Linked DNA regions of Mytilus edulis. The main gene of each other region encodes a partner of the protein of the gene in region 2 in a complex. Links are inferred from orthologs where the notes say so. Each region holds a gene or a part of one and is shown on either strand. Other genes may lie near its edges. The genes, in order: mediator of RNA polymerase II transcription subunit 25-like and mediator of RNA polymerase II transcription subunit 24-like.

Region 1 (11,102 bases), on a different chromosome or scaffold from region 2:
CGACAATAAAAACACCTTTCTGAACATTGCTGAAAGATAAATGTACATGTATATATTCAATTTATCAAATTTTTACCGACATGGTTAATTATATCTGCTTGGGTTGTTCACACTATTTTGTGGTAATTTAACAACACTGTATTTAAAAAGTGGAACTTTAAGAGGTGGTTTATAAAATTGAGAATAGAAATAAGTGTCAAAAGACTAAAACCTGACTATAGAGTAGAAAACAGCTGAAGCCAACCAATGGGTTCAATCATGTCAATACAGCGAGAAAATCCAGCACATGGAGGCATGCTTCATTTTGTATGATAACCACTTACTAAGTCTAGCAGTACTAGTAATATTTTTATCACAAGAAGAAATGAAACTAGTTAAATTGTTTTATCACAAAAAACAATGACACTACATGTCCTAGTTATTGTCATCTAATAAAATCTATATTTTTTAACCTGAACATGTCAGATGAAAATCATGAAATATGAAACACTGGCACCAAAATTAATTAAATATGGACCATAATTTGCTATTGGGCTCGTTTCCTATAACGATAGAAAAGTGATAAAAATGTGTATTTCTGTAAGAAAAGTTGTAACTACATTTAAAGATGCCTTTATTTTTATCAACATACAAGTGTATGCTACTTTTCCCTATAAAAAAAATTGAAATTAACCAATTTCATAGATTATACGACCTTATTTTTGTGTCGTTTCTCGCGATACTTTTCGCTTCCGAAGTGCATAACGCTGACTGATTTATAGATAATCGTCACCGGCAAATTCTTAACTTTTGCTTTCAAATAATAAAGAACATCGACCAATAAGAATAGTCAGAAGAAAATGCAGAGAACTATAAGTATTTCTGTAGTAGGTGTAAGAACACTGGCGTTACTTTCGTTTCCAATTCCGTAACGCAAATTTTAGATGATGTAATCTGCTTTGTTGTAACAGAATTCTTTATATCAATATGCAAATATGAACTCTCGCGAGATGTTCAAACAGGTAAATCAGAGATGGTTTACATTCTAGTTTTGTTCTTCGTAATAATTAAGTTAGAAAATGACGTTATCGTTATGCGTTACATTTCACACGAAACAGAAGTCCAGTTATTTCCTTTTTTTTATTAAAATTGTTTTTGTCGTTAAGTTCTAATCATTTCCGGTCATACGTGAAACATGTGACTAACAAGTGATCACCCTATTACGGCCGGATATACGAAATACTAGGTCTAAACATTGTTTTTGTTTCCAACGGGATGTTAGCAAACATAATCTGTAGACTTGTTTCTTCTTGTTTAAAAAAGGAAAATACAATTTTCAAAGAGATTGCGCCGGGGGTCTATTATTTTTCCTATGTGCATAATGTTACATACGATCTTGTGTGAAAATAAATGCCCAATGACTTGACAAAATCGATTTCAGATTTGACAATGTTATAACACACTTCATTTCCGGATATCGATGTAAAGGGATCTTGGAAAATTCAATCAAAATTATGTCTCTTATCATTGTGCCGATGCTCGTTCGATTGATTTTGCTTCAGCAGTAAATTTTACTGGATATTTAAGGTGAATTAAGATAATTTAATAAAAAATACATGTTAATATACCGTTACACTTGGAATGTACAAAGTTGGTGTCTTTGTCACAATTTTTAATTATTTTTTTTTATTCATGTTCTGCAAACACTTTTCAGAAACACAATAAACTTGTCAAAGGAGAAGTAAACTTTCACCATGCATGACTTGAAAGGAAGTACTTTATTGATTTTAGCCCACTAAAGTAGGTTAAAATGTGGAAACCATGTAGATGGTGTACAGGTCACAAATATCACATGGTGCCTATTTTAAAGATTTTAATTCCAAGTTAAAAGTTTTTTTCTTTACTGGATTTAAAGAATTTTACATTGCCATGATTTGGAATAAATTGTATATAACTGGAATTTCAAAACCAAATATAACTACATTTTTTTGGCTAAAACATCAAGATACAACGATTATGGTATCCTGTATCAATGAAGAAAATATGGAAATTTCTGAATAAATTGTACTAATTGTTTTCAAAACAAGCACATATTTAGGAGTTTTATAATACTGTTACATATAAGATGGATTTTAAGAAAAAGTATACTGTTCAGATTATTTTAAGCAGATTTTGCAATAAAATAAAACTAAAAAAATGCTTTCGGTTTCTTATGGTTTCCTGTCGCGTTTAAAAAAACCTTTAATTTAACATTGAAAATAGATTTTAAATATTAACATGAAGCAAGTAACACTAGTAATGGTGTTCATTTATGTCTTTTGAAATATATTGTGCAAAATAAAGAAAATAAAGATTGGTTTCCTGTCACGTAAACGGTGAATCAAAATGTATTATTTTTTTCTTGAACTCAATTGTTCCATTAATACTATTCTAACACCAACACAACATGCACAACCCACAGAATAAAAGTTAAAGTTTTAGAACTTATAAAAAAGGATACAACAAGAAACCAAAGGCCGAATACCAAATTATGGTCCATATACACGGGTCATAATCACAGGGTTGACACTACTAAATTGTCAAATTGTTACCTATTGTAGTATTTTAATCAGTAAGACTTTCTCAGATAACAATACGAATACTAACAAGAGTGCACACGCTGAAATGTCTCGCCTTCTATACTAATCATTGATATTATGTTGATAGTCCTAAGTATAAAGCTTAGTTTTATTACAACTGTCTCATAAACTTAACATTAACCAAGATAACTAAACAAAGACCAATGAACCTTGAAAATGAGGTCAAGGTCAGATGAACCATGCCAGGCAGACATGTACAGCTAACAATGCTTCTATACAACATATATAGTTGACCCATTACTTATACATGTTATAGTTTAAGAAAAATAGACCAAAACACAAAAACTTAACACTGTGCAATGAACCGTGAAAATGATGTCACGGTCAAATGAAACCTGCGCGACTGACATAAAGATCATAAAATATTTCCATACACCAAATATAGTTGACCTATGGCATACAGTATTAGATAAAAAGACCAAAACTCAAAAACTTAACTTTGACCGCTGAACCATGAAAATGAGGTCAAGGTCACATGACATCTGCCCGCTAGACATGTACACCTTACCATCATTCCATACAACAAATATAGTATACCTATTGCATATAGTATGAGAAAAACAGACCAAAACACAAAAATTTAACTATAACCACTGAACCATGAAAATGTGGTCAAGGTCAGATGACACCTGCCAGTTGGACATGTACACCTTACAGTCATTCCATACACCGAATATACTAGCCCTATTGCTTATAGTATCTGAGATATGGACTTGACCACCAAAACTGATCCATGAAATGAGGTCGAGGTCAAGTGAAAACTGTCTGACAGACGTGAGGACCTTGCAAGGTACTCACATACCAAATATAGTTATCCTATTACTTATAATAAGAGAGAATTCAATATTACAAAAAATTTGAACTTTTTTTTCAAGTGGTCACTGAACCATGAAAATGAGGTCAAGGACATTGGACGTGTGACTGACGGACACTTCGTAACATGAAGCATCTATATACAAAGTATGAAGCATCCAGGTCTTCCACCTTCTGAAATATAAAGCTTTTAAGAAGTGAGCTAACACCACTGCCGTAGCTGCCGCCGGATCACTATCCCTATGTCGAGCTTTCTGCAACAAAAGTTGCAGGCTCGACAAAAATCTGGACTAAAAATAAGGCGTATAGGTACAGTTTTCAAATTGTAAGCGTGAAGTAAAACAGTGAATCAAAGAATTCAACTTTATTTATAACTAATATAAGACAATGCTGTTGATTAAAAAATACTCCATTCCAGGACCTTTTGTTTTCCAAATAATTAATATTACCAATAATTGATAAGTTCCAGTTCGACGGATTCAAACAGAAAGATTTGAAAGCAGAGAAAACTGTGTATCTTATAATCGTCATGACTTTATCAGATGACAATACTAATACTAAAATAAGGCTTGCGCATAGTTATATACTTTAATTCAGTCACGGACCCGCGATATCACGGGTTTGTTCTAGTATATGTATATATATCTTTCTTTGGTTATTCGTGTTAACCTGTTAACAACACACTTCTTAACACAGACACTTGTTTCTATCCATTGAAAGTCCCACTATCAACGTATATTATTCATAAATATACGTTGATAGTGGGGCTTCCAATGGATAAAAACAAGTGCCTATGCTTCTTAGAATTGATAATGGTAGTTTTAATCTTTATTACAGACACAGGTTATTCCAAAGAACACTTCCTTAAAGTATAATATTCCCCAAAAGTAAATGGGGAATCCCCAAAGTTTGAACTAAGAAATAAATAAATGTCAAACAAAATTAAAAACATTAATAACAATCAACGTTCTCTTACTCTAAAGTGGGGATAATATAATTCTCCTTTAAGACGTCAATATATCCACCGAGATTTGCAGTTCCTTCAACAACAAATACAACATCTGACGGGTTTTTAAAACTGTCTGAGATTACCATCGTCCGTTTCTTTCTAGCATATGGAAATTGTAAACGGAAGTAGGGCGATTGACAGATACTTTTACGTTATTCCGCATGCGCATGAATTACGAAACCGTTAAATATAGTTCTTATTCTTCTTCGGGAAATGTTCATATGTAAGCATCTTTTAATATATTACATCGTAAATTTTCAGCATAATGGACATAAGTTAAATTTGTTTGTGACAAATATTAGTTTTTTACGATTATTTGGCAAAAATATATTTCTTCTACAAAATAAAACTCGAAACGAAAACGGGTGAAATTACGGAATAGGCGAAAGGTCAAAAGTTGGCACTTAGTCTGTCAGTTTGCAGCGAGGGTATTAAACAGTTATATAGGTAGCTCTTAAGAGATATTGGTGTTGTTTTAAGTAATTAGGAATGTAAAATCTGCGACAGTTTTATGATTTTTAATCATGCAAATGATTTTTATCCTTAATACTATAAGTTCTTTGGGTTTTTATATGTCTCTGGTTGATAGATGAAATATTTGCCACTGGACGTGAATCAACAACAATATCAACAAGCATTAGCCTTTCAAAAAGGGCTAGTCGACTCTTAGCTGATGAAAGTGCTCTCGCTTTGTAGATTAATACATTTACTAGAATAACCATGTGCATCAATCAACAAATTTTACCACACCGTGAGGTCACACGTTATGAAGTAGTATACATATCGTTTAACATTGTTGTCTACGAAACTCCAGATCTGGAGATTCGACTATTTATAGATAAAAGTTACCTGTGGTCCAATATCATGAATATGCCAGGGACGGATCCAGGATTTTCGGTTAGGGGGGGCGCAAATTTAAATTTTCGCTGAGCGGAGCGAGGCGAAAAATTTTTGGAGGTATTAATTTCGAAATTATTGAAATATTCTTTTAGAGAGGGTGCAATGTAGATATCTCGCCAAGCGTATTGAGAAATAAATATTTTGTGGTAAAATTAGCGAGAAATTAAAGTTTCAAGCTAAACCCGCATAAATCCACCCCTTACAATCTGCAATCACCTAATTAACAAGAAATCTGCGAGCTTCTATTCATTGACTCAATAATAGCTCACCAACCAATATAAGATTTCGAAAACAAAAAGTTCTACTTTTGCCAGCGATTTTTAATTGCCTTTTCTTAATTTTTCTCTTTTTTTTCCGGAGGTCGTGTCAAACTTTTTATATACATTTTTACCGCAAACCAGTAAAATCCGAAAGAGGTCCTTGCGAAGATATGTTTATTTTCGTGGGATCCTATGTAATACGGTAGTACGGGTTAGGGCCTTTACCGTGTATGTAGGCTTCGGCAAACTTTACAGGTTGAAAGTGAGAAACATATATTGATATCATACAGAGATATTAAATAATGATACAAATTAATAAACTAACTTTCGCTTGAACCAGTATTCCTATATTTCATTAAGAAAGAGTTTAAACAGGACTGTTTTCTTGGCAGTGCCATGATGAAATAACCAACCCAACCGCGGGTAGGGCACTTTCGCCTACTTCGTGGGAAAGTAAGGTAGGGTTGTTTTTGAACTTCGATTATCCAAGAAATTGTTTATAACATCCGCAACTACCCCAGGGATCTCCATGGCCTGTTTAACGATGGCGCCCCGCCATCGTTCAAATGTCTTGCGCCATCGTCAAATGACTTGCTCCATCGTTAAATTATCTTGCGCCATCGTTAAATTGTCTTCCGCCATCGTTCAACATGTTCAAAACTTCATCTTTTTTGTAGCCCGACGCCATTTTTTTATCAATTATAATCAAATGCATGTAATTGCATAACCCTCAGGCTTTTTATGTTATAATCCAACACAGTTCTAACGCCTGGGGGATATCCGGATTAAGATCGCTAATCACTTGTACCTGAGCTTGTACAGGTAGATCAACAAACCAGACAGGAGAATACTATCTGAGGATAGACGATCCATTTGTCGAATTAATCAACTAAGTTTCAGCAAATGATTATGATAATTTAGATTAAATAAATAAATTAATAATCCAGTTACAAAGAAAACAGTTTAACAAGTCAAACACGTGCTTTATTTTGACTTGCGCAATCAGCATCCCCCTTTTTTAAGAAGTACAAAATAAGACGCAAAACAGTAAATATTATTTCATCACAAATAACTCGAGTACTGCTGTAACGATAATTTAAAATGACTTTAAAAGTTTAAAAGTAAAAACTTATAAATATTTCCTGTCAAGAAATATCGTATCGTAATTCCGAATTCATTTCGTATATTACAATCAAATTGATACATCCGCGTTTCCGGTTTCTATTCAGACTCGAAAGATGCATGTTGCACAGCATCAATTTGTCAGATAAAGTCATTAAAAACCTTTTCATTTGCTTTACAAATCTCTTTAACCTTTTACATAACCCGTACCAATCGTTTTGTTGTTGCTGCAAATCAGCCATACCGGTAATGGGTTCTGAATTTGACAGTGTTCATGAAAAATAAGATCCACATCATATGATTTTTAACCCCCATAACAATTACCAAAAATACAAGCGATCTACATGGGGACCTTCATGACAGCTTTTAGTCATTCTCGACTAAGGGGGGACCATGAAGACTTGGTATTGGAATGGTTAAAAACGGCAATAAATGAACATATTGACACTTCTAATTCTATAATGAAAATTCAAATAAATATAATTTCAATAAGCAATGAATTGGCATGTTCACCATTCCTTGTATGGAGGGATAAAATACTTCCGATCGTGCTACACTGTACAGCGTATACACGGTTTATAATGGTGAAAGTTCCTCCATGGTTCAATTTTCATCCATGGAGATCCCTGTACCCTGTCACAATTGTTTTACTTGAACTGCTAAAAGCCTATGATAATTTTTCACCAAACGCAGTACCGCGTTTGATACCTTTCTTTGAAGCATAATATATTTATAGAACTTATGAATAAACCGTAAGTCAGTTTATTAGTAATCATGTTGATTCTGTTAAACTTATTGTTTTATATACTTCTTTGAATATTAAAACAGATGCAATGCGACGACATTGATATTCGTCATCTGTTCAGATACTTTATTTAGCTGAGGACAACCCATGCTTTTTAAATTTTAGGGGGGGCGCACGCCCGCCACGCCCCCGCCTAAATCCGCCCCCTGTATGCATGATTAATGACCAGGCAAAATCTAATTGCTAAAATAGAGAGGACAAATTTGATACTCTACGGGATTGAAGGACATTTACTAGGTTTGGATTGTCCTAACCAATCAATAAACTTTGATTATTCACGTCTCGTAATATCTTCCAATCACGTAGCAAGAAAAATTCACGTACTGACTGTCCATCATTCAATAGGAGTCGATAAAAAACAACTTTTGAGTTTGATGCATTCTCGACAAAATCTTTTGTTTTAGTGAACATTGGTGTGTTTAAGTCATCATCACTTCAGTTCCAATGTTGATTTAGTGGTTGGAAGACTATGAAAGTATGATGCTATATATTATAATATACCTTTTATCGTGTTAATTTTGTGGGTGTAAAATTTCGTGATTTTCATTGAACAAATGTTGAAAAAGCATGATAAGGTATACGAAATATTTTGGCATATAATATTTTGTTGAATTCAAAAATTTTGTCAATACTTTTACATGTGCATTTTTAAATTGGTGGAATTTATTTTGTCGATTTTGTTCTATCCGCTAAAAATTTCGAAAATTTACACCCACAAAAATAACCTGCTATACAGTATTGCACAAATTTGAAATTATTCGGCAAACTGAACTCTCATAATTGACAATCAGCACTGCTGTCATTAGGGAATTGTGATTAAGTACCTACAGAACGAATATTATTTCTATTTTATCCTGCACAATGACATTTATTTAGACTCTTGATGAAAGTTAATAGTGCAGGAATACAGGTGATCCCCTCTATCTGGTAAACAATGTCATAAAGGCGCTCATAATTGATGAGTTTTTTCGATGAAGGACAAACTCGAAAGTGGTCTATTACAGTATATTCAGAAATATTGCATACATTTACTTTTGTTATAGAATTGCCAGTAACATGATGAATGCAAGAGTTATTAATAACTATTGTGAATTCAGGAAAAGCTTTAAACATTCACAATTTCACATGCATCAGATATTAGAATTTGGGTTCTGTTCATTGCAATACTGCCCCTGTCGCATTATCAGCATTAATTTAAACCTCTCAATACAGTGCAATTTATGAATTTACATACATGACATACATTAAAAGCAAATTCAGTATTTCAAAGCTTTTATGTATTGTTTTATGCATATATGGCCTCCTGGGGTCCTAATTTGGTGAATAAAATTATTCTATTCTATTTTGTATTTGTGTGTGCATCTGCAGCTTTATTCCTTTAACTGTTATGAATCACAATTCATATCTGAACTTCGTATTTTTGTCAATACATTCAGATATTTATATAAAACGATATATTTCATGTATTTTATGTGAAAAAGAGGAGAAAGGGACATTCAACCTCAAAAATGGAAAACAAACTGAAAACACCTTGGGAAAAAAACAAAAGCCATGACAGGACTAAGACCTGAGTACACGAAACACAACATAGAAAACTTTTAAAAGACATTAGACATGTAGACATAGAGCCATGAACCTCTCAAAAACTGGGGGTATTCTCAGGTGTTATGAGTGAGAAGGCAGATGTTGCTACACATGACCATGTGTAAACCAATTTAGTTTTTTGCAAAATATATAATATTCAAATGACATTTTTAATTATACATGTTATTTATCTACCTAAACTGACTCTTACATAATTTAATACTTGTGATGTCCATTTGTAGTTCATGTCTAGTTCATTAACTGTTCATGAATCTTTAATTCATGAATTGTGTTCATGAATCATTCATGAATCATCCATGAACATTCATGAATTATTCATAATCATTTCGCAGGGGTTGGTTTGCTCCCTCTTACATCATGTACATGATGTACATGTCTTATGAAATGAAATTTGGTTCAATACATGTACAATGATGTATGTATACATGAAGGTTTGCAGTGTTGTCTTGATTTCAATTAATGAAATATTTTCATTACAAAAAATATAAATAAATCATTAATGCAATTTTAAGAAAACCAGGTGAGACATTAGGATTATAGTGTGTGCACTCTTGGTACCCATTTTTCTGGGATTTTTTTGCAGAAACTATAAGAAATAGACAGAAATGGTTTGCAGCAAAAATGTTTAGCAAATGAGTCCTTCAAATAAATCATCATGACCAAAACAGTCAATCGAAATATGAGTTATTTCCCCTGAGGAATGATTTACTCAATATTTTGAATTTTTATATAGTCATAGGCTTTACATGCTACAGTGGTTAGGGTGAAAATTTTAAAAAGCAAAATAGATGATAAGATCAGCAAGTTAACATTTAACAGGGCCAAATTATCCCACTCCTTACTGGATATATTGCCCTTAAATCATTGTTTTTTTTTTTTAATAATTTCTTTAGTTTTGCCCATCAGGTCCAAAAGATTACTAGATAAGTATGAAGCAAATTTCATTAATACAATTAACATGTACAACAATGTCTTGCAATCAGATTGGCAAATAATCAAACTGATCGCAATAAAAGTAAGATGAATATCAAAGTTACATATTTTTACCTTGTTAGCGATTCAGGCTCTTGGGAGCCTCTTGTTTGATTTATACATGTCATATACTATTAATACTTTCCATGTTTTCTTTTCAGTTAGATGATATACAGTTAACAAAATGGCAGCAATACCGAGAAGTTTAAGAATATTTCCTGCTTCATGTACTCATTTAACAAGACAGTTGTTTCCAAAACCACATCACAGAAATAAATTGTCACAAGCAAGGTCCACATGTTTACATTACAGTACAGACAAAAGGAGTGTACCTCCTATTACTAACGTCAATGGAGAGACAATAGTACGGAGTCCATATCCAGATCTCTCAATACCACAGTGTTCCTTCGCAGAATATGTGTTTGAACAGCTCGATAACTTTTCTGATTTTGCATTGATGGTGTGTAAAGTATTTTCTTCACAGGTTTACAATGGCAAATGAATGGGGTTTTAATGGTTTGAGATAAAAAAAAAAAATGTACTTAAGGATTGGAAATATTATACATGTACATAGCACAGTTTTTTGTTTATTTTTTATACATACAGTTATTTTTTAAATTGTACTGAAGTGTTTGATTTTTATACTGTAATCTAAATGCAACTGCTAATCAAATCAAAATCCTGCATAATGACAACCATGAAGACACTTGATGAAATTTGATAGTGCAGTAATATAGGTGATCCACTCTATTACGTAAATGACATCATATAATAAAGGAGCGTATAAATGATGAAGTTTTCCAGTGAAGAACATAACTTAAAAGTGGTATATTGATGTGTTTCATTTTTTGTGGTATGATAAATCGATAATTTGTATACTTTTTTCAGGTTGATAATACATCAGGCAGACATTTCAGTGGAAGGCAACTAAAGGAATATTCCATTAAAGTAGCTAGTGCATTGACTAAAATGGGGTTCAAGAAAGGAGATAGATTTCT
Region 2 (10,274 bases):
GTATAAACTTTTTTTTTTTTAATTTTATGTATTGGGTTAATTTCTCCTCTTGAAAATCTCTTGACATACTTGATCTTTCCAAGGAATTGTCATACTTATAAAGGACCTTCTATGAAAGTAAAATAATGTGTTAGAGAACCTGACACTCACTGTTATTATTGGCTTAAAACAATAAAGGAAAAAAATATGCTTTCAAATCACCAGGGTATTTGAATAATACATATACATGCTTGAAATGTTAAAATTTAACAGAATACAAATGATTAGTAGTTATTTTGTTGTCTTAACTCTCACTTACCCTATCATTCTGTACTGTTCCCACTTATTTACATATATTTAATGTACTGGTACATAGACACATGACAGAGATAATTGATATGACAGGAATCATTCCAAATCAATGAAGCTTCTTTTAAGAGATGTATATATAAAATATAATAAATAAGGAAACATGGCCTGGTAACAATATGAATTTAAATGACACAACTATCCATCCAAGTCATGGGGGTGAACAACTATAGGTCACCATACAACTTTGAGCAAAACCCAAACTGTATAGTAAGCTGAAAAAGGCCCTAGATTGACACAATATGAAACAATTTAAAAGAAAAAAAGGTGAAACATACTTTAAACCAAATTTTTTTCGCAGATACTTTAATTCGCGTTTAGCCCTTTTGATTCCATTTCGCGGTAATTTAATTTCGGGATTTTCTAACTAACTTGATGTAGTTAAATAAGGAAAGATGCAAGTTTTACATATCCAAGATGATTTAAATTCGCACTATTTTTCTACTCGAGAAAGTCGCAAAAATAAATCGCTTGCGAAATTTAGTTGGTTTACAGTAATCAAACATTGTAATTTCTACTGTTTTCAAATATATACAGGTTAAGATTCATGTGGACCCTTTGACTAAAATGGCCGTATTTTCACCTCAAAATTTACTCGGAGTACAGACAAACCTGCACATCTGTAAAAATTTTCAGGCATAGCATAGCCATAGGGTCCACATGAACCTTAATCTTTTTAAAAGATAATTTTATACAAATATACCTGAGAAGTAACACTGTGCTTCAGGTATGATAAAATCAGATTATTTGGATTTGGTCCAACTAAGGCTTGCTGCATTAAAATCTCTATAAATATATTAATAAGATAAGTGTTATGATAACATTAGGCAAACAACATAAAATTACATCAACTGCTCAAAAAATGTATACATTGTACCAGTAAGGATATAAGCTTTCATTGAATCAGATTATTAAAATTTATTCTTATATGGCCAATGCACATTCTTTACATGCTTTATGACTATAAGAAGTAAGGAAAATAAATGACAAACATGCAATAATTCTACACAATTAATTATATAAATGGATGTCATATTTACATGGTGAGTATTTTTAAAGTACAATTCATATTTGTGAGTACAATAACTCACATAAAACTTTTAAGTGAATCTCAATCTTAAACTTCTATTAAACATTGTCTCTTTTCTGTATTAAGGGTTAATGAATATACATGAGTACCTGACAACTAAACATAAGGTTTTTTCTTCAATTTTATCGACATACCTGCCAATTCTTTTGCTTCTCCAGGTACATCAAGCAACATCTTCTTTAACATAACTCCCCAATGGTTATCCTGCCAACGCTCTCTCCATGCTCTCATCAACAATGTCTTTACTTTGTTACAGAATATACTGCCTTTTGATTGGTTAGAACTAGTTTGTTCCATTTTCTTCTCATGTATGAACAAAAGGAGCAATGGGGTATACCTCAACCTACATAGTATAAAAACATATGTTCATGAAATATACAATGTACCTTTCATTGATTGAGATTCATTGCATCTGTTAAAAGTTGGTGCATAATACATGTACATGTATATTACACATGTACTAACTAACTTCTTTACAATTCATTGCACATTAACTTTGTATAGATCTATACTGGTAAACTTTTCCTCCATAAAAAAAAAATTCCATAAATGATAACTTTAGTAATAACAACCAGATGCTCCGCAGGGCGCAGTTTTATACAACCGCAGAGGTTGAACCCTGAACGGTTGGGGCAAGTATGGACAAAACATTCAAGCTGGATTCAGCTCTAAATTTGTATTGTGATTAAATAGTTGACACAGCATAGGTTTCTGACACAGAATGAATGGGGTCTAATGAACTTAAAATATTTTTTTTGCCTTTGAGCAATTCACTATGCTGTTGAATATTAATCCTCTCAAAAAAATGTTTGAAGAAATTTTCTTTTTATTTATGAAATCTGAAATGAGAAAAATTTAACCCCCCCCCCCCCCCATTTTTTTTCACATCCCCCTTTCCCTTTTTCCAAAACTGATCTTAATTCAAATTTCTAATGGAGTTTGCAACAATAACTACTCATTTAAATATGTACATCATAAAATATTAAAATGTAAAATAAAGTGCTTGTTATCACTGAATGGTAAAGATTGTTTTAATTCAGCAGTTGGTAGTCAAAGTGAATATACATTGTATATTGTATAAAACAATGATTTAAGTTAATTTAACTACTATTCTGGACAAAGAAAGATAACTCCAATTGAAAATTTCTTGCTATTGCACAATATTGTGCAATTAGATATTTCTTGCTATTGCACAATACTGTGCAATTGAAAATACTGTGCAATTGAAGATTTCTTGCTATTGCTGAATACTGTACAATTGAAAATTTCTTGCTATTGCACAATACTTAATATAATAATTTTGGATCCTGATTTGAACCAACTTGAAAACTGGGCCCATAATCAAAAATCTTAGTACATGTTTAGATTCAGCATATCAAAAAAGCCCAAGAATTCAATTTTTGTTGAAATCAAACTTAGTTTAATTTTGGACCCCTTGGACTTTAATGTAGACCAATTTGAAAACAACCAAAAATTAAGAATCTACATACACAGTTAGATTTGGCATATCAAAGAACCCCAATTATTAAATTTTTGATGAAATCAAACAATGTTTAATTTTGGACCCCAATTTGGACCAACTTGAAAACTGGACCAATAATCAAAAATCTAAGTACATTTTTATATTCAGCATATCAAAGAACCCCAAGGATTCATTTTTTGTTAAAATCAAACTAAGTTTAATTTTGGACCCTTTGGAACTTAATGTAGACCAATTTGAAAACGGGACCAAAAATTCAGAATCTACATACACAGTTAGATTCGGCATATCAAAGAACCCCAATTATTCAATTTTTGATGAAATCAAACAAAGTTCAATTTTTGACCTTTTGGGCCCCTTATTCCTAAACTGTTGGGACCAAAACTCCCAAAATCAAACCCAACCTTCCTTTTATGGTCATAAACTTTGTGTTTAAATTTCATAGATTTCTATTTACTTATACTAAAGTTATGGTGCGAAAACCAAGAATAATGCTTATTTGGGCCCCTTTTTGGCCCCTTATTCCTAAACTGTTGGGACCTCAACTCCAAAAATCAATCCCAACCTTCCTTTTGTGGTCATAAACCTTGTGTTTACATTTCATTGATTTCTATTTTCTTATACTAAAGTTATTGTGCGAAAACCAAGAATAATGCTTATTTGGGCCCTTTTTTGGCCCCTAATTCCTAAAATGTTGGGACCAAAACTCCCAAAATCAATCCCAACCTTCCTTTTGTGGTCATAAACCTTGTGTTAAAATTTCATAGATTTCTATTCAATTTTACTAAAGTTAGATTGCGAAAACTAAAAGTATTCGGACGACGACGACGCAGACGACGCCAACGTGATACCAATATAGGACCATACGGTCATATAAAAATGTGACCATAGTAGAAGGATGCCTCACTAGCACTATCATCTATGCCGTTACAGATTGACGAACAAATGGATGCACAGACCGAAAAAAGTAATGCCCCTAGCTGGGGCATAATAATAAAAAAAATTTATGGCAAACTATTCCAACATATCTGACAAAAAAGAATTCAGGTTCTGACATGTAATAAAAGAGCAGTCTGATCACAATTTTTACAACTTTTTGCTGTAATTTTAATACTTTTTGCATCATATGTAAACAAGCAAGAATTGCAATGTACCATAATTTTTGTTATGATATGTACCTGACCTTCATACATGTACCTGACCTGTCCCAAGTCAGGAGCCTGTAATTCAGTGGTTGTCATTTGTTTAAGTGTTAGGTCTAGATACATATACTATGACAGATCATGACAAATAATTTATATTTCAAAGTTATTCACTGGCTAGAGGACTTTTATCCGAGTTGTGCCAACCTGATTGTGTGAGTGCTTCAGCCGAATTATACTCATGCAGATCTGATTAAGTTCCAATGCTTAAAATGCATGCATTTGTGATATTGTGACAGAAATGCATTAAATTTTGATTTCTTACAATAAAGAAAAAAAATCCCGGAAGTATCTAACCTAAAAGCTTGTTCAATGTCGGACTGGACTCAAAAGTTAACTTCCGGTACTAAATTCTAAAAGATGATGTTTTGAAAGTGAAGCGATGGAAAATAGTGGTTTAACTGAAGATAATTCTATGTATGGAACCTTAGTTCTGATTATAACAAATGAAAACAAACGTTAAAAATCATATGAAAAGAGATTAATTCATTAAATCAATACAAAGCACATAAAACCAAACAAAAACACAAACATTACAAAGTACAGATCTAACTTTTAGACTAGAGCAAGGACGTATATCTAATATACGTCCTTGACTAGAGTAAGAGTACATGTACTTCAGACAGTCAGTTACTGACTTCTGGTCAGTTTAGTACCTGGTCAAATCGGCACTCATTATTGCCATTGTTGGTCATTTTATAGCTAACAATGCTGTATGTTTGCTCATTGTTGAAGGTTAATATTTACTTTTATTTTATGGAGAAGCCTCCTGTTTTTTTTTAACAGAGTTAGTAAATCTATCAATTACTAAGTCAACTCCTTACCGGAAGAAGACAGTGACCTATTGTTGTTAATTTATGTGTCATTTAGTCTATTGTGGAGAGTTGTCTCTGACATCAAAATAGCAATCATGAGAATCCGGGTCGGTTCGCCCTTAAACACATTTATGCCTATTCACATTCCTCCTATACTGTACGTTCGCCCTCAAGTCTGTGTAAAGTAAGTAAGTAAGTAAGTAAATTTTATTTAGAGTCGGCATATATATACACAATAACAGAGAAAACATGTGCACCCTGTTGATTGGTTTTAAATGTTAAATAATTTGTATTCAAGTTTTAATGGTGTTAATAAGTACAGATAACTTAAATAATTTGTATTCAAGTTTTGGAAAGTGTATTTGCTATATAATCATGATAATCAGTTGTTTTCATTGTTTTGAAATAAGGTGGGAATTTTTCTGACAATATTTTTTTTGGTGTTAAATAAATCTTCATCACATTTTGGTTAGTGTATTGCTATAACTATTTTTCATTGTTTCAAAATAAACTGATCATGAGCTCAAACATGTCAAAGGGGCAAAGCTGTTAAAAACAATTGACTTTCAGGTTTTTTTTTACATTTCAAATCTTTCAATTGTATTATTTTACTCATACCAAGCTAAATACATGCACTAAGGCAAGTTAAAACAACATTTATGATTTTCAAACACACAGCAATAACACCAAATTTAGCTTATTTATCATGTGCGAACGGACCAAAGGGGCAAACCTGTAGGGAGCGAAAGTGTATTTGGCGCAACCATCATACATTTTCATCTTTTTATAGATTGGAGTTCATTTTAAGGTTCATCATAACAAATGGACAATAATATTTGTATATACAACTGAAAAACTACTCTGATTACAGACTAACCTGTCCAGTCTGAAAAGTTTTCCGGCCTAGCATCAACTAGATATAAAAGTTAACAACCCTTGGTGGGAATTTTTGTTCATTCCTGGATAAGATGTTTTATTTAACGAGATTGGTTACTGCATTGTAGTTTGGCATACTCAAAAGTTTCTGTATTTTGTGGTTTGGCATGCTGAACTTCTGTTTTAAGTCTTTCAAGCGTTACCACTGAAGAATGATTTAATTTATTTTTCTTAAATAGACCAAATTTGAGAATGTTTAGATATATATACATGTAAGTTGGAGAATATCTTTTATTTTCATATTTACATACATGTACATTAATTTACTTCTACATATATTTGTAAATATAGCCCACAAGAAGGCCATGGCCAGACTACAGCTGGACTGGAAGTTATAAACATCCCACTGCTACATGTAGATGGAAGCAATAATATAGCCCTTACAAGGTAAATATGATAACTTGAATTTAGAAATGTTATATAGTTAACAGTAGTAGTAGTTATGAGCCTCCTATATGTACATGCTGTATACAGATTCTTATAAAATTATACAGTCTCAACAATATGTGTATGGTATTCTAGAGATAGTACACACAACTATACAGGACTGGAATCCTGGTTCATCTGACCATTACCTCATTATAATAATAATATTTATAATGTTAAGTTTATGTGATACTTGTTGTAAAACCATTATGTTACATATACTTTCAACATAACTTTAATGATAAGTAAAACAGGTGAGACAGTTCAGCGCATGAACTCTTGTGATAATTGTCATGCTGATTTGTGTAATTTATTTAAGGTGGTACCCAACACCTTCACTAAAATTAACTTGGCTCGTTTAATTTTCATAAAATTTTGGCATAGTATTTGCTTTGACCCTTTGACAAAAATGTAAAAATTTCAAAAAATTTGAACCAACCATTTTATCAGAAAAATTACACTGGTTATATAGCAGTTTGACAAACACTAATTTTGATCATTGAGAAGCTTAATATTCCCTTAACAACACAACGTAATTAAAACGTTTAGCTGATTTTACAGAGTTATCTCCCTGTAGTGTAAGGTACCACCTTAATTTTATCATTTATGAAAAATTGCATGTTCTGTAAGTAAAAGTACTGCATTATAAATGTACTTTTGTATTTTTGCAGGCTGCTTGCCCAGCATGGTATTACCCTACAGACTGGTCTTAGTGATGTTCAAAATGGACAGCTTCTGTCTGTTAATGGTGTAGAATCATTATCACAAAACAACATTGAAGCATCAAGTCTTATTGAAAGTACCAATCAGATTGTATTCACCTCATCAGGAAATGTGGATAATCAAATTTCAACCAATGATGGTCTCCCTATTGTTGGTAATCAAATGTTGTGTGTTCCCAACATGACCCAAACATTGACCTTTGTCACTGACTACATGCCAGATGTGGTTGCGAGTGGCAATGTGCCATCTGATAATTTTCGCAATAACATAAGTCTACAATATAGAATACAGTCATATGAACCTTATGAGGAAAAGAAGGTAAATAAAATTCAATTCTGGTTTATTGCCTCGTCTGCAATGAAAAATAAAAATAGGTTTTAATATAATATGTAGCTTTTGGTAAAATCCTGATATCAGCTTACATGTTAGAGATTTTTATGCCCCACCTACGATAGTAGGGGGGCATTATGTTTTCTGGTCTGTGCGTCCGTTTGTCCGTCCGTCCGTTCGTTCGTCCGTCTGTCCCGCCACAGGTTAAAGTTTTTGGTCAAGGTAATTTTTGATGAAGCTGAAGTCCAATCAACTTGAAACTTAGTACATATGTTCCTTATGATATGACCTTTCTAATTTTAAAGACAAATTAAACTTTTGACCCCTATTTCACGGTCCATTGAACATAGAAAATGAAAGTGCGAGTTTCAGGTTAAAGTTTTTGGTCAAGGTAGTTTTTGATGAAGTTGAAGTCCAATCAACTTGAAACTTAGTACAAATGTTCCCTATGATATGATCTTTTTAATTTTAACGCCTAATTATATTTTTTACCCATTTTCACGGTCCATTGAACATGGAAAATGATTGTGCCAGTGGGGCATCCGTGTACTTTGGACACATTCTTGTTTTTCATCCTTGACCTCTTCTTAAACAGAGGTTAAAATTTGAAAACTTGATGATTCTGAAGGCTATGTTTGAGTAATAGTCACCAGGAACATAAAATATAAATGTAAATTGAAGGTGAAGGTGAACAATGCCATTTGTTGTTGATGATTTACTTACTGATTGTTTAGTCAAGTAACAATCACTGAATTATGTGAAAAAAGTTATTGATGAAAAAACAGTTACCTAATATATTCCCTTTATTAGTTTACATTGTAATCATATAATTTTAATATGTAAAGCAAATTGAAGGCACTCAAAATATTTCTACTTTTTTTCTCTTCAGATATTTTCACATGTAGTTGCGTTTTTGTCAGAGGACATATGTGCTGAGATGTTTACCAACCATTCTGGTTACTTAGACCAGTTAGAAAAAGGTGATGTGTTCCAAATTACAAAACAAGAAGAAAGTTATACTGTTGCTGGAGAGTTATGGTCCTTGTTAATGCTTCAGAAAAGACTACAGACATTATTAAGAACTGGTAAAAAGCAGTCAGCAGAATACAAGAAAAGGGAATTCTGTAACAAATGTGTTCAGACTGAGAAACCTAAGACAACTGATACTGCTGTTCAGACTAACTATCCAATCAAAAAACAAGGATTAGTCAACTGTGGTACCATGTGTGAAATTCTCCTGCCATCTGTCACAGCTTTTGGGCGGGAAATAAAACAATCTGGGAGGTATAACACTAATAGTTCTACATTCCTCTCTCATTCTGTTGATGAAGACATGGATGAGGAATATACACCTAGGACAAGCAGAAGAAAGAGAAAGGTAATTATATCCAATCTTTCTTGTACATGCGGAATATGGTAATTTGCATTTACAATTATGGTAGATAGCTATATAGGCAATGTCCAGAAGTATATATATTTGTACCAATATTTAAAGGCAAAATATGATAAAACTACAAAATGTACAAACATAAAAGTATCAGTAAATTAGATTTAAAAAAAACTAACATTAATTGTTAAGTGTACATGTACTGTAATTAAACATTGAATGTGTCCCAATACAAGCATTGTTCTGTCAGAAAATGTCAATATGTACATGTATGAAGAGAGAACCACTGAGTGTATCATGCTGTTTATACACCACTGTAGCCATTTCATGTCATTGATTGCAATCCAGTTCAACAAATTATGATTTTGCTGTAAGCATGATTATTTGAGTACACATTCAAATTTTTAATTCATTTATTACTATAGAAAAATTTGCAAACTACTGTAAAAGCAGTAAAAGTTTTTGTGAAGGATTTAGTTTCGTTTATTTCGTGGAACGAATATTATTATATCCACAAAATTAAATCCCCATGAAAATTTATATAGAGACAAAACCATGAAGTTTTAACCCCAAGTTAAAGAACATATTATTGATACAATGTCATAATCAAGGATCCTGAAATATGTCATTCATGCATGTCTGATTTTAAAAAGAAATGACTAAAATATTTATGTTTTTTTAAACACATTTATAATTCTGAATTTTAACAATTTCAAACCTCTGTTATAAATATTTGTAGATACCTAAACGAGCTGCAACAGCCTATGAACATAGTGATATAAAGATAAAAAATGACAAGGTCAAACAAAGTCAGAGGATAGTTGTTGTACAAGATGATACTGTTACTGTCAAAGACTGTAATACAAAACCAAATAGGTCCACCAAACAACCTGTTTTGGCAGACACGAAGACACAGATGAAAAGCATTACAAACAATCAAGAAATAATAGCAGAGCCTGATGCTAGTATTCATGCAACAAATGGGAAGAAAAATTTTAACAATGAGACAGGCCAGAAAATATCAATTCCAGGTACAAATGAAAATAATACTATGGAATGTTTTAGTACACAGCCAGTTATTGATACTAATTTACTGGATAATTATCAGTCTATAGGAACTGATATGGAAGAAAACAATGACCTCGTACATAACTATGAGTCACATGACAATTTATCTGCCAACACAAATACATGCAATGATGTTGCATTTATCCATTCAGAACCTACAAAATCTACTGGAGAAGTCTTTACAACTTCAGCTAGTGATTATACATCTATTACATCAGAAGACAGTTCAGAGGAGAATGATATAGCAAATGGAACCAGTCTACTTGATGAGCCCAATTCTATACAGAATAATTTAGGTAGTACCAGACTAAACACCTTACCTCAGGAAGATCAAATTCAAGCTGCACTTAGAGCTAGTCAAATTTGTTTTGAAGGTAGGTCAAAAGTTGGAAAGACTTGTAGTAAAAAAAAAAGTTGAAATGACATTTTTTTTTTTAGTTAAACTGTATAAATGGTTTACCTGCATAAA

What was found.
Region 1: mediator of RNA polymerase II transcription subunit 24-like (region 2) and mediator of RNA polymerase II transcription subunit 25-like share a complex: the UniProt entries of both Homo sapiens proteins name them as parts of the mediator complex. The link is inferred for Mytilus edulis from reciprocal best matches to the Homo sapiens genes MED24 and MED25.

What each region holds. Positions count from the first base shown.
Region 1 is NC_092350.1:24,519,291-24,530,392, reverse strand, and holds the start of mediator of RNA polymerase II transcription subunit 25-like, read right to left. Parts: upstream 4,571-11,102; 5' UTR 4,527-4,570; coding exon 4,408-4,526; intron 1-4,407. Other genes in the region: probable 4-coumarate--CoA ligase 3, read left to right, coding at 10,289-10,564, 10,993-11,102. UniProt on the Homo sapiens protein: Component of the Mediator complex, a coactivator involved in the regulated transcription of nearly all RNA polymerase II-dependent genes.
Region 2 is NC_092345.1:94,570,100-94,580,373, reverse strand, and holds the start of mediator of RNA polymerase II transcription subunit 24-like, read right to left. Parts: upstream 4,435-10,274; 5' UTR 4,386-4,434; exon of another isoform or gene 4,268-4,385; intron 1,782-4,267; 5' UTR 1,736-1,781; coding exon 1,573-1,735; intron 1,135-1,572; coding exon 1,052-1,134; intron 1-1,051. Other genes in the region: uncharacterized protein, read left to right, coding at 4,503-4,537, 6,163-6,258, 6,969-7,338, 8,240-8,728, 9,477-10,179. UniProt on the Homo sapiens protein: Component of the Mediator complex, a coactivator involved in the regulated transcription of nearly all RNA polymerase II-dependent genes.